Linked DNA regions of Arabidopsis thaliana. The protein of the gene in region 2 interacts with the protein of the main gene of each other region in a biochemical or structural test. Each region holds a gene or a part of one and is shown on either strand. Other genes may lie near its edges.

Region 1 (6,209 bases), on a different chromosome or scaffold from region 2:
AGTTTCTCGAGCAATTTAAGTATCGTCGGAAAAAGAAAAGAAAATGTAGGTCTAAAAACCCTAATTTTATGAAATACTCCGATTCGTCTACTTGTGATTGATTAGCTTCCCTACCTTATTCCTCAAGCAATACATTGATTCATGTTTCTCTCTTTAGTATCTTTTGGAACAAAAACTTCTTCGTTTGATCTTCTCTGACTGATCTTGACGGTCTCATGTAGGCTTTGTGATTGGATTTTTAAAGTCTCTAGCTCATCAAGAGACTTCATAAAGCCTATTAAGCGGGAGGACCATTAACGTTAAGCCCAATAAAGTAAAACATTATCATATAGTTTAGTTTTATGAAATGACCAGGTGATCTATGTATGATTTGCAATGGTCTGATTGTTTAGTGACTGTTAATACTTAAAATTTCTTCAAAATCCTACGAATAAATCTGTGAATTGAAAATCACCTAATCCTACTGCTAAGCGTGATTAACAGTTTTTTTCTAATGAAAACGACAATGCAAACATTATTTAAGATGCGACGAATCATCAAGAACCCAGTTTCCAAATTTTGCGATGCTTATTACTATATTGTTTTATAATGACCCCTTCTGCTTTGCATTTGAACATCAATGCAACTATTTTTTTTGTAGCCGGGTTGGTCTCGACTAGTTACAGAGAAGGAATCATTAGGTTCAGGCCAAGTATTGAAACCTTAAACCAAAACACATAAAGTTGGTCCGATTTGATTAACATCTCAGTTGAACAAAACAGCACCTAAGAGTCTGATGAAACAGGATCATGAACCAGAACCATGTACCCCTAACTGATATGGAAAGGTCCTAAAAGCTACCACCAATATCTCAAAAGACAAACCAGCCTTACAAAAACCAAGACTCCTCGCTAAAACCCGCATTAGTTTACCATAGGCGATAGATAGATAGACAATGGGTTTTCTTTACTCTTAAGGCTTGGAGGCACAAGTCATAACATGCGACTTGAACTTCTCCAATTCTGCCACGACTTCTTCTTCTGGTCTGTAAATCAAGTCACTCATCCGCCATATCTGCCATAGAAGAAAGTATAAACAACATTTAACGGTATGTCAATAAAATTGCTTATCAAGGTACCAAGAAAGATTTCAAGGTTACCTGCAATGTTCCACCTCCACCAGTAGTCTCACAGTCATCAGAAACACTGACAATAGTCCAAGGGTCTGAAGCATTCCAGTGGAAATCAACAACTTTGTCCCTAATATGGTTTATAAACAAGGGAACTTAGAAGCAAGTAAAATGAGAAAGCAATCAAGAAAAATCAAGATAAGTCTTTAAGAACCTGTGACCAGCATGCTGGAAGAAGAGCCCAGCGGGGCTTTTAGCTGCACGATCAGACTTCTTACTGACCTGATGGTTAATTAAACAAACCAAACATGAGTACAATGAATATGTTTCAGTGATGATAGTGAAGAAAGATTAATTTTAGACATCTGAGTGAACTATGTACACACCCTGTCATAATCCCAGATGTTCAAGAGACCATCTTCTGCAGAGCTCCCAAAGACGGATGACTTATCAGGAGACCACTGAATTGAATAACAAGATAGTGTCAGTGGGTTAAGAGATATACTTCATACAAAGAAGGAAAAAAAAAAAAAAAGTTGATTATACCTGAACACAAAGAACAGCAGCTTTGTGTCCCTCAAATTTGTAAATAGGCGAACCAACTCCATTAGCGGTAAGCTTCCTACGATCAAACAACCGGACAGTGTTGTCTGCTGACCTGAAATATTCATCAATTTCTTAATTAGATACTAAGTATGTATTAATCATCTATTTGTATGTATTTCTCCATACCCTGTCAGGATCAGATTGTCGTCATGAGGATTCCAATCAACACAATGAAGATCAGCATCATGCGCTTTTTCAACCTGGAAAACAAAAAAGTAAGATATAATATCAAAAGGAGGTAAATCTTCAAACTTTTGATAGGATTCAAAAGATAGAGTACCTTCGTGACAGGGTTTGTGCCAGTTCTCGCATCCCATAGTATAAGGCAAGAATCATCACCAACACTGCAGAATTCTTGTGCACTTCACGGTATAAAAGTTCACCAGAAGTATTATTAGAAAATCATGAAAATATCTGCAGTATGCATAAACAAACACGATATCAATAGAAGGAGTCTGTTCTAAGAAGTTACCTCGTCGGGCTGAATGCCACATCTTCAACTGTATCTTCATGGCCATGATATACACCTCGTGGGCCAACAGTAGGACTCTCATTCTTATCAGTACCTTCACCAGTCTGTTTGATGATAGATCCAGATGATTTGGAATCTGTCCCAATCGTTGTGATGTGATCTTGGATACTCCACAAAACAACTGACTTGTCCTTGCCTAAGAGAAGAACTTTTGTATGAGAAACTGGCAAACCACAGGATTGGACTCTACAAATTACAGAAACACAAACCTCCGGAGAGCACAAAGGGTTCCGTTGGGCACATGGCAAGAGCAAATTCAGCATTATCTTGGTGCCCAGTTAGTATCTGCATGAAAAATGGTTCATTCAGATGATGCAAACAAGAAGCACTATTTAAGAAGATATCAAAGAGATTTATCACTTCCAATGATGAGAAACAAACAAGAATAAAGCATAAAACAACATTCTCAGAAGTGGACATACCAAATCTGGACGGGAATTTGCAGCTCCAAGCACAGCATGACGGTTTGGTTGGGTTTCAACATCCCAAATGAGAACCTGAAATCAACATATTGTATTTAGATAACTCTGAAACTGGACATATGTCCGAACAAAGGATGCTCTTTGACTGCCAAATACAGAAATATGAAACCGACATATTTCAAGTTGCTATGACCATAACAAAATAGAAGCAGCACTCACATCAGGACTGTCGGTGTGAGTAGCAACAATCTTACTATTCTGTGGGAGTTCCCTGATTCTGTTAACCTGCAATTGCAAATTAGTAATGAATACACATCAAAATTTACTTTCACCAACGTGCCAAACGAATAACTTCATGGACAGATGAAACAGGGATGCAGATACAATTAACAAACCAAATAGAACTAAAAAGAACAATGTCAATACAGAAATATCTCAAGAGTGGGCAGAATTCACACCTCTCCAGGGTGAATGATGGTCTTGTACTTCTTCACAAATGGAGAACGTGCTTCTTCATTGAACTGAGAACACATTTTCAGAAGATAGTATATAAGTGTCAAACATGAAACCAATTGTAGTGTGGAGTAGGATATGGAAAGGACACAAGCTTAGTATTAAACCACATAATACCTGAGAAATGTGCTCTGCTGCAGCAACCCTTGGCTTAACAACTTCACAATTTGCTATGACCAAAGTATTGGGCACACTTCCATCAGTCTGGTGACACAACCAAGAAAAATACAAATAATACGATGAGAAGTATATAAAGAAGATGAGACAACAAGATACAAGAGAAAGCTAAAAACTTACTTGCTCTGAGAGGTACAGACGCTGGCGATTCTTGTAGGTTGCTTGCTCAAGCTGCGGACCCCATCTATAAAAAAATCAAACAACAATTCACCAAATGGAAACTCTTAGCACAACAACTAAAGACTTCATCAGATATAAACACTCAGAGAAACTGAAAATTCCTCTTAGTCATTAGTAACCAACAAGGTAATCAATAGTAACAATTCATGAATAGAACATCAGATATATCAAGGTATGAAGACAGAGCCACATCCAAAACCCTAACTAGAACAATCGCAACAATCTCACTTAAACCCAGAAATCGAGAAAATGTATGTGTAAGATTTTACTAAATTCATTCCAAACATGAGAATGTTCAAAGCTAAGAAACGATTACGAAACGAAACCCTAGAAGGAGAGGAAAGGAGAAAGGGGGAGACCTGCAAGAGAGTGAAGGCCAGACGAGGTTATGGTTAGCGAGCCAGTCGTAGAGAATGGGGACGAGACCTTTCCACTGAGAGTACTTCTCGTCAACACTCGGCGACTGCTGCGTTTTCTTCCCACTTTCTTTCATTTTAACATCGCTCTGTTGCTGAGACGACGGCGTCTGAGAATCTTCCTTGGTTTTAGGTTTCCGACCTCTCTTCTTCGGCCCAGAAGCTCCGGTTCCTCCGCTCGGTGTCGTTGCTTGAGGAGACACTGCTGCTGCTTCGTCGCTCTCCATTTTCCTCTCTCTCTTTTTAATTTTTCTTTTTTGGTCTTTGCTTTCAGTGTCTCTATATCTCTCTCTCTTCTGCTTTACAAATACAAACAAAACAACCACCGTTTACCATTTTTACTTTGGACATAATACCTGAATCCGAAAAAACCGATCTGAACCCGATCCAAAAATCCCAATCCAAAAATCCCAATCTAAATTCGAACCTGAAATTTTCAAATATCCGACTGAATCTAAACTTCAAAACCTGAAAAACCCGAACCCGAACTGGTACCCAAACATATCTTAAATATAAATATAACTAAAATATTTATATTTATATTTACATATAGACAATATTATGATTTTTCGGATATTTTAGTTACTTTTATGTATTTTTAAATATATTCAAGCAAAACTACTCGGGTTGTTTAGGGAATTTTTGAAATTTTCAAATAATTTAATAGATTCGGACACAAAATTTTGATATTTCAATATATAACTAAACCCGAAACCGAACCAAACCCGACCCGGAATCTTGAATTACTCGAACGGATCTTAAAATTCTAAACCCGAAAAACTCAAACCCAAAATACCCGACCGAATATCCAAACACCCATAATTATTATTTTTTAATTCAGTAAAATAAATACTTTATTGAATAATAATAAAAATTACGGATGAAATAATTAACAGTATAAATTAATTAATATAAGCGTCTCTTACATGGATTACTAACTTTATAATTCATATCCAAACTTGTTGTTCTTTCTTGTAGCTTCTTCTGAAAAAAAAAAAAAGAATAGATCCTCGTTGCATTTTGAAAAGTGATTTAAGAAGATTTCAATGTTTGTTTAATACTTGAACAATAAAGTCCAATATTGTTCAGAAGTATATGACTAAGCTTAGACTTGAACCCTAAGTTTGTTCTTGGTGTCTAAACTTAAAACATTCATTTCATTTGTTCTCTGCTGGCTAAACCTATAAAATTTACCTTTCATTTTATCTTCTTTATTTAAAACATAAAATTGTACTATTTCATATCCCTCTTTGTTCTATGTGAAAAGCTCAATTTTCACTCATGGATTCGACACCAAATAACTTTCTTTGGGACATTGAAAGCCTTAAAATATCTCGAGGTTATGATTTACATGTAGTTGTTCCAAGCTTGAGGCTTTTTCTCAATCCAGCATGGATTAATCTGATGAATATGGTAAATCCGAAAAAAACCTAAACGTCTGTTCGCTCTATTTAATATCTTAATTTTTTTTATTATGATTATAGTTTAGAACTTAAAAGTTATGTATAATCATGTCATTTTAAAATTTCGCTTCAAATCTCTATAATTCTTGGCATTGCACTTCTTATATCACTAGTTTTGACTATTAAGAAACGTTTTGTGCATAAAAATTCAGATTTTTTATGATCAACAAATTAAATAGTGTTAGAAATTTTGTTGTGATTATGAATTTTTTAAAATTCTAACACAATTTATTTGGTAGAGGTGCAAAATAGGTATTAAACAAAAATTTTAGATCTGCACAACATATATGTATACAAATATGTATATGAACTATGCAAATAAAAGAAAAAAAAAACTATTACTAAGATTACTAGGGAAAAATATTGACTCAAATCATCTAATTTATGTTTCTCATCTTACTAATATTAATGTTGATAGTATAGTGGTGTTTCATATATTCTCTAATTGCATATTACATATACATATTTGTATATTTACACCTATTTTCCTATTAACTTAATAAATAAATATTATTTTTTTTGGGACGAAATAAATTGTATTATTATCGTCATAAAACTGATAGGTACAATGAAATTAGTAACGCTAATGAATTTGTCGTCCAAAAATTAAAGATTTGAATTTTTTATACACAAAGTTTTTCGTGGTAGTTAGAGACATGTGATACAAGCATTTAAGATATTATGCATGTAAGGCAAACATGATTTTTAATCAAATGTCAAATATCATGAGTCAAAGATATACTAAACGAAACATAATATCTAGCTTTTTACAAAGCAATTTTCCAAAGGCAA
Region 2 (4,730 bases):
TTGCTCGATTGCTCTGTCTGTACTGATCAGAATGCTTTGTATGTATATTTTCAGGTGTGGATATATGAACTTTGCTAGCAACAAACAGTGTCGAGAGTGCCGAGAACAACGTCACAAGACGCTAGCTGAGCCTGGAGATTGGGAATGCCCCTCGTGCGTCTCTCTTCCTCTCTGTCTCTTATTTAGTAATTTGTTATCTTCATATCCTAAACCAGACCATTTTGTTCCCGTGGCTCATTTTAATTTTGCAGATGCGACTTCGTGAACTTTAGGAGAAACGATGCTTGCAAGAAATGCGAGTGCAAACGACCTAGCCAAGCCAATAACGATCAAGAAGACCATACATGGAAACGACCCGCCTTAGTGTAAACTTATGCTTTTGTACTTGCAAGATTCACTGCTTGCTATTTCCTTTCAACTTGTTGTTTCTTCTTCTCTTGTTGAGTTCCCAAATTTCTAAACAGATAACAATTTTGAAGCAGAAAATGGAAACCTAGTTTGTAGTCACATTCATGATTCATCGTTAAAGCTATATTTTATGTAGTCAAGTACAAACTATGTCATCTCTAATACAAAACAAGCCATGATTATACAAAAGCTTCAAGGCCAAAAAAAGGTGCAAGTTCTTCGTTAGGAACAGACCGTAGCTACATTACAAAAGCTTCCCGTGAGAGCTACATAAGCTAAAACTATTGAGATGATGATGTCATCGGATTCATGAGTTGGTCTCCATTTGAAATTTCACCTTCATATTCCTTCTTCCCTCTTCTTTATCTACCAAACCATGTTCCTTGAGACATGATTTTGGTGATGGAGCAGACTTTTGCGGCTTCTGAGGCAAAGGAACTTTTTTTACTTCATTGTCTTCCTCAAAGGGTTCGAGGCGGTACGTAACCTTAGACTTTCCTAGTCTAAACTTTTTGCTCCTAGCAAATTGATAAGCCGTCACTGCATCGATGCTCTGCATGAATACTACTTTCGCAGAGCTTTCCCCTGGGTTTACATCAGTTCTTGAAGCATCTATTTTCCCAAACACACTGAATCTCTTCAACAGTTCTGCTTTGGACGGGAGATCCCCATGTCTACACAAAAACTTCATCCGCAAACATTTTGGATTAGCAAGCCGCATATCTTTCATCAGGTGTAGATTCAGCGATTTATCAGTAGAAATAGATTGTTGGCCTGCTTTCTTCTTTCTCTTGGAGTAACGTGCAGATGCTTTGTCTCGACTTGCCTTCCTTTTGACACCAATGGATCTGACATTATCAACTGATCTCGTCTGGTTTTCAACAGTTGTTCCAGCTTCCAAATCTTGTAATTGTTCTGCAGGTGCTCCTGCATCATCAGAACTAAATTCTTTGTTTGAAGTGCCTGTACTAGGTAGCGAAACCTGTCCCACCTCCACAATATGTGACTCCAACGTATATTCAGAGCAGTTTTCTCGTGTTCCATTAAGACTATTCCTACCTAACGACTGCTCATTCAAGGTCTTGGCACTGATGATAGAGCTATCAAGCTTGTTTCTTGGGCTAGCATATTTTTTTCTCACTGAACAAGCTAGAGTGTGACAGGCTCCTGGAACAACAAAAGAAACAGGCTTTGCCAAATAAGCTTTGTCGTTGCTCGAATCAAGCAAGGGTGACAGTTCATTTGTCGATGTCACAGGTCCATCAACCAAACCAATGATGTCATCATGAGTTTCAATCATAACATCAGGAAGTGCTTCTGATACATCAACTCTTGAGGCAGCAACGGAAGTGGTGTCTTCCTCTATCATATCTTCAATAGAAGGTTCTGAATTCAATAAGCAGATATTCTGCTCAACTTGACAGCATTCTTTACTCTTGGACAGGTGACCATCATCCTCATGAACAGCTCTTCTAACCATGGTTTCACAAGCTTTCATGGTACTAGAATTAGAACTGGTTCGAGGGCTCCTCGTATTCCATGTGCAAATCTGAACTACTTTATCAACATGCTGCTCAGAAGAACAACAAGGGAGATCCTTCGGCAATGGATCTCTTAGACTCAAATCTCTACTGTTGTCGATATCCGCATCCGCAGTCTCAGGAAACATAGAACACAGGTCCATCTTCTTTGAGTATTCAAGACACCAACCTGATTCTTCAGATCGATCATTTAGCTCTGCACCTGTACACATATTCATAGAATTATTTGAGAATACAAATCATAGCAATATCTGTCAATCCATACTTCGCCTTGTTCTATTGTAAACAGAGCATATAGATTCACACTCAAATTTTGAAGTTCCTATAAACCTAATAGAGCGAAACAGTAGCAATCATCTCTATGGAGCAGTTCTAAAACACCAAATGGGGTTTCTTTCCTAATCGTACTCAGCAAAACCCAAAAATAAGAATTTTCAAACTTACTTGCTCTAGTCTCCTCATAGACAGATTCGGAGCGCTTAAAATCGACAATGTAACGCCGAAAACTAAGGATCTGAGCACTGGAACTATTGGTCTCAGCTAATCTCCAGAGGGGCATTCGTATCGAAATAGCCATATCTCTAACAAACCCCAGAGCCGAATCCGAAGTGGCATGAAACCGTGGGAGAGAGTTTTCTCTATCCAAGTAAGGCGAATCAATACGCGGCTGGCAAGAACACCATAACCCAAACGAGATGTTCCAAAAGTAAGCTCGCAGAGCTCGATTCACAAAGCGGCGAATCCACCTTGAATCTGAAATCAAGGTTTTGAAATCGCGATCAAAGCTTCGTAGAAATGGTTTTGGAACGTATCGCGGATCCATTAGGCCGAAGAACGAGACGAGAACTCCTAACGATTCGGATGGATCGATAATCCGACCCGGAATCCATGTATTCGAAAAGCTCACGCTTACCCAAACTAGCTCCCCTTTCTTCCACATCTTTGAATATTAGGGTTTAAGCTTTCTCTCTGATATCATCTCTGTGACAAGACAAGAGAGAAGAAAGTGTAGCGTTGCCTGTAACGTCTCCTCTAGAACTTTTTCTACTTTAATTGAATTACACTTCATGCTGTTTTCAACTCTCAGATACTAACTACCTGCCATTTAATCAACGTTTTGTCTTCAGTAAAGACATCCTGCTGTTGTCCTACTTATAGAGAAAACTTCTGCCGTTTCATTTACTCCGCCGTTGCCACAAAATCCGCTGTAGCTAAGCTCGGTGAGTAAAATGGCGACGGCGACGACGGTGAATGTCAAACTTTCTCGATCAAATCGTATCTATCGCTCTTCCGTATGTATCGAATCTCTTAATTATGAATTATGATTACGTTGAAGACGAATTTGAAATCTCTAGTTTTTGAATTTAATCAGGAACCAGTGGAAGGAAAAATTGTGATAAAATCTGCAACTTCGATTTCGCATCAAGCAATACGTTTATCCGTCAATGGATCAGTCAACTTGCAGGTTTCAGATTCTCTCTCTATTGAAGCTTTTCTTCAATTTGGTTCCACCAAGTTAGTTAAATTTCTTCCTCACTCCTACAGGTTCGTGGAGGATCAGCTGGAGTTATTGAGTCCTTCTATGGTGTCATCAAGCCTATTCAAATCGTGTAAGCATTTATTTCTTCTCTGGTTCTTGAATTGATTCCTTGATGTTGAAATTACTCGAGCTTAAGCAAATAATTCGAATTTTGGCCACAGCAAGAAGACGATCGAAGTTAAGTCTTCTGGCAAAATCCCTCCGGGAACTACAGAGGTAAAGAACATAGTCCCATTGAGAAATATCACATATAGCTGCAACATTGAGTAAGCTAAGCTTTTGGATATTTTTTTTGCTGTAGATACCATTCTCTTTGAATCTGAGGGAGCCTGGGGAAGGCATTGTAGAGAAGTTCTATGAGACATTTCATGGAACAAATATCAACATCCAAGTCAGTAGTTTGATCAGCTTTTTTTAATAAGGATTTTAGGATTTTTGTCTGTGAATTGGGAAAACATTGATGCAAAAATCTGTGACAGTATCTACTAACTGCAGATATACCGCGAGGATACTTGCACAAACCTTTGTCTGCAACAATGGAGTTTATTATTGAGAGCGGTAGAGGTACTTTGTCTTGCTTCGTTGGTGTTTATAGAATAAACATGGATTGTTTTGTGATGTTTTTCCTTGGTTTTTGGTTGAAGTTGACCTTCCCGAGCGGCCTATTCCTCCGGAAATTGTCATCTTCTACATCACTCAAGACACACAGAGACATCCGTTGCTGCCTGATATTAAGACAGGTTTGTTCTTCCAACATTTTCACTCCAGTTTCGGAGATATCATCTCTTAATGTGAAAACTAATAGGACAATTGATCTCACAAGGTGGTTTCCGAGTTACTGGAAAATTAGCCACCCAATGCTCTTTGCAGGATCCACTCAGTGGTGAGTTAACAGTGGAAGCATCTTCAGTTCCTATTACTTCTATTGACATTCACCTACTCCGAGTTGAGTCGATAATTGTAGGGGAAAGGATTGTCACTGAGACCTCTTTGATTCAGTCTACACAGGTGTTAAAATGACCATTCTGGTTTGTTAATGTAGTAATTGTAATATCAAAATGCTTTGCTAATTTAGACCATGTTCAGATTGCGGATGGAGATGTGTGCCGTAACATGACTCTACCCATTTACGTTTTACTACCTCGGCTTTTAATGTGTCCTTCCGTTTTCGCAGGGTAAGTTTCTTTGCTTCATTTTCTATAAACCTAGGCAGTTGATTGAAACAAATGACTCTCTAGTTA

What was found. The genes of interacting proteins can lie anywhere in the genome.
Region 1: the proteins of AT1G48560 (region 2) and FVE form a complex in vitro, tested with the Arabidopsis thaliana proteins (one study listed by BioGRID).

What each region holds. Positions count from the first base shown.
Region 1 is NC_003071.7:8,453,978-8,460,186, reverse strand, and holds FVE (Transducin family protein / WD-40 repeat family protein), read right to left. Parts: upstream 4,432-6,209; 5' UTR 4,182-4,431; coding exon 3,898-4,181; intron 3,543-3,897; coding exon 3,479-3,542; intron 3,386-3,478; coding exon 3,299-3,385; intron 3,190-3,298; coding exon 3,127-3,189; intron 2,954-3,126; coding exon 2,888-2,953; intron 2,744-2,887; coding exon 2,669-2,743; intron 2,532-2,668; coding exon 2,456-2,531; intron 2,383-2,455; coding exon 2,187-2,382; intron 2,077-2,186; coding exon 1,995-2,076; intron 1,915-1,994; coding exon 1,841-1,914; intron 1,767-1,840; coding exon 1,655-1,766; intron 1,570-1,654; coding exon 1,495-1,569; intron 1,391-1,494; coding exon 1,323-1,390; intron 1,239-1,322; coding exon 1,139-1,238; intron 1,054-1,138; coding exon 952-1,053; 3' UTR 545-951; downstream 1-544. UniProt on the Arabidopsis thaliana protein: Core histone-binding subunit that may target chromatin assembly factors, chromatin remodeling factors and histone deacetylases to their histone substrates in a manner that is regulated by nucleosomal DNA.
Region 2 is NC_003070.9:17,951,094-17,955,823, reverse strand, and holds AT1G48560 (uncharacterized protein), read right to left. Parts: upstream 2,966-4,730; 5' UTR 2,890-2,965; coding exon 2,394-2,889; intron 2,272-2,393; coding exon 2,215-2,271; intron 2,152-2,214; coding exon 716-2,151; 3' UTR 551-715; downstream 1-550. Other genes in the region: AT1G48570 (zinc finger (Ran-binding) family protein), read left to right, coding at 55-153, 252-369; AT1G48550 (Vacuolar protein sorting-associated protein 26), read left to right, coding at 3,179-3,241, 3,322-3,414, 3,495-3,559, 3,651-3,705, 3,791-3,880, 3,969-4,053, 4,134-4,229, 4,313-4,497 and 1 more.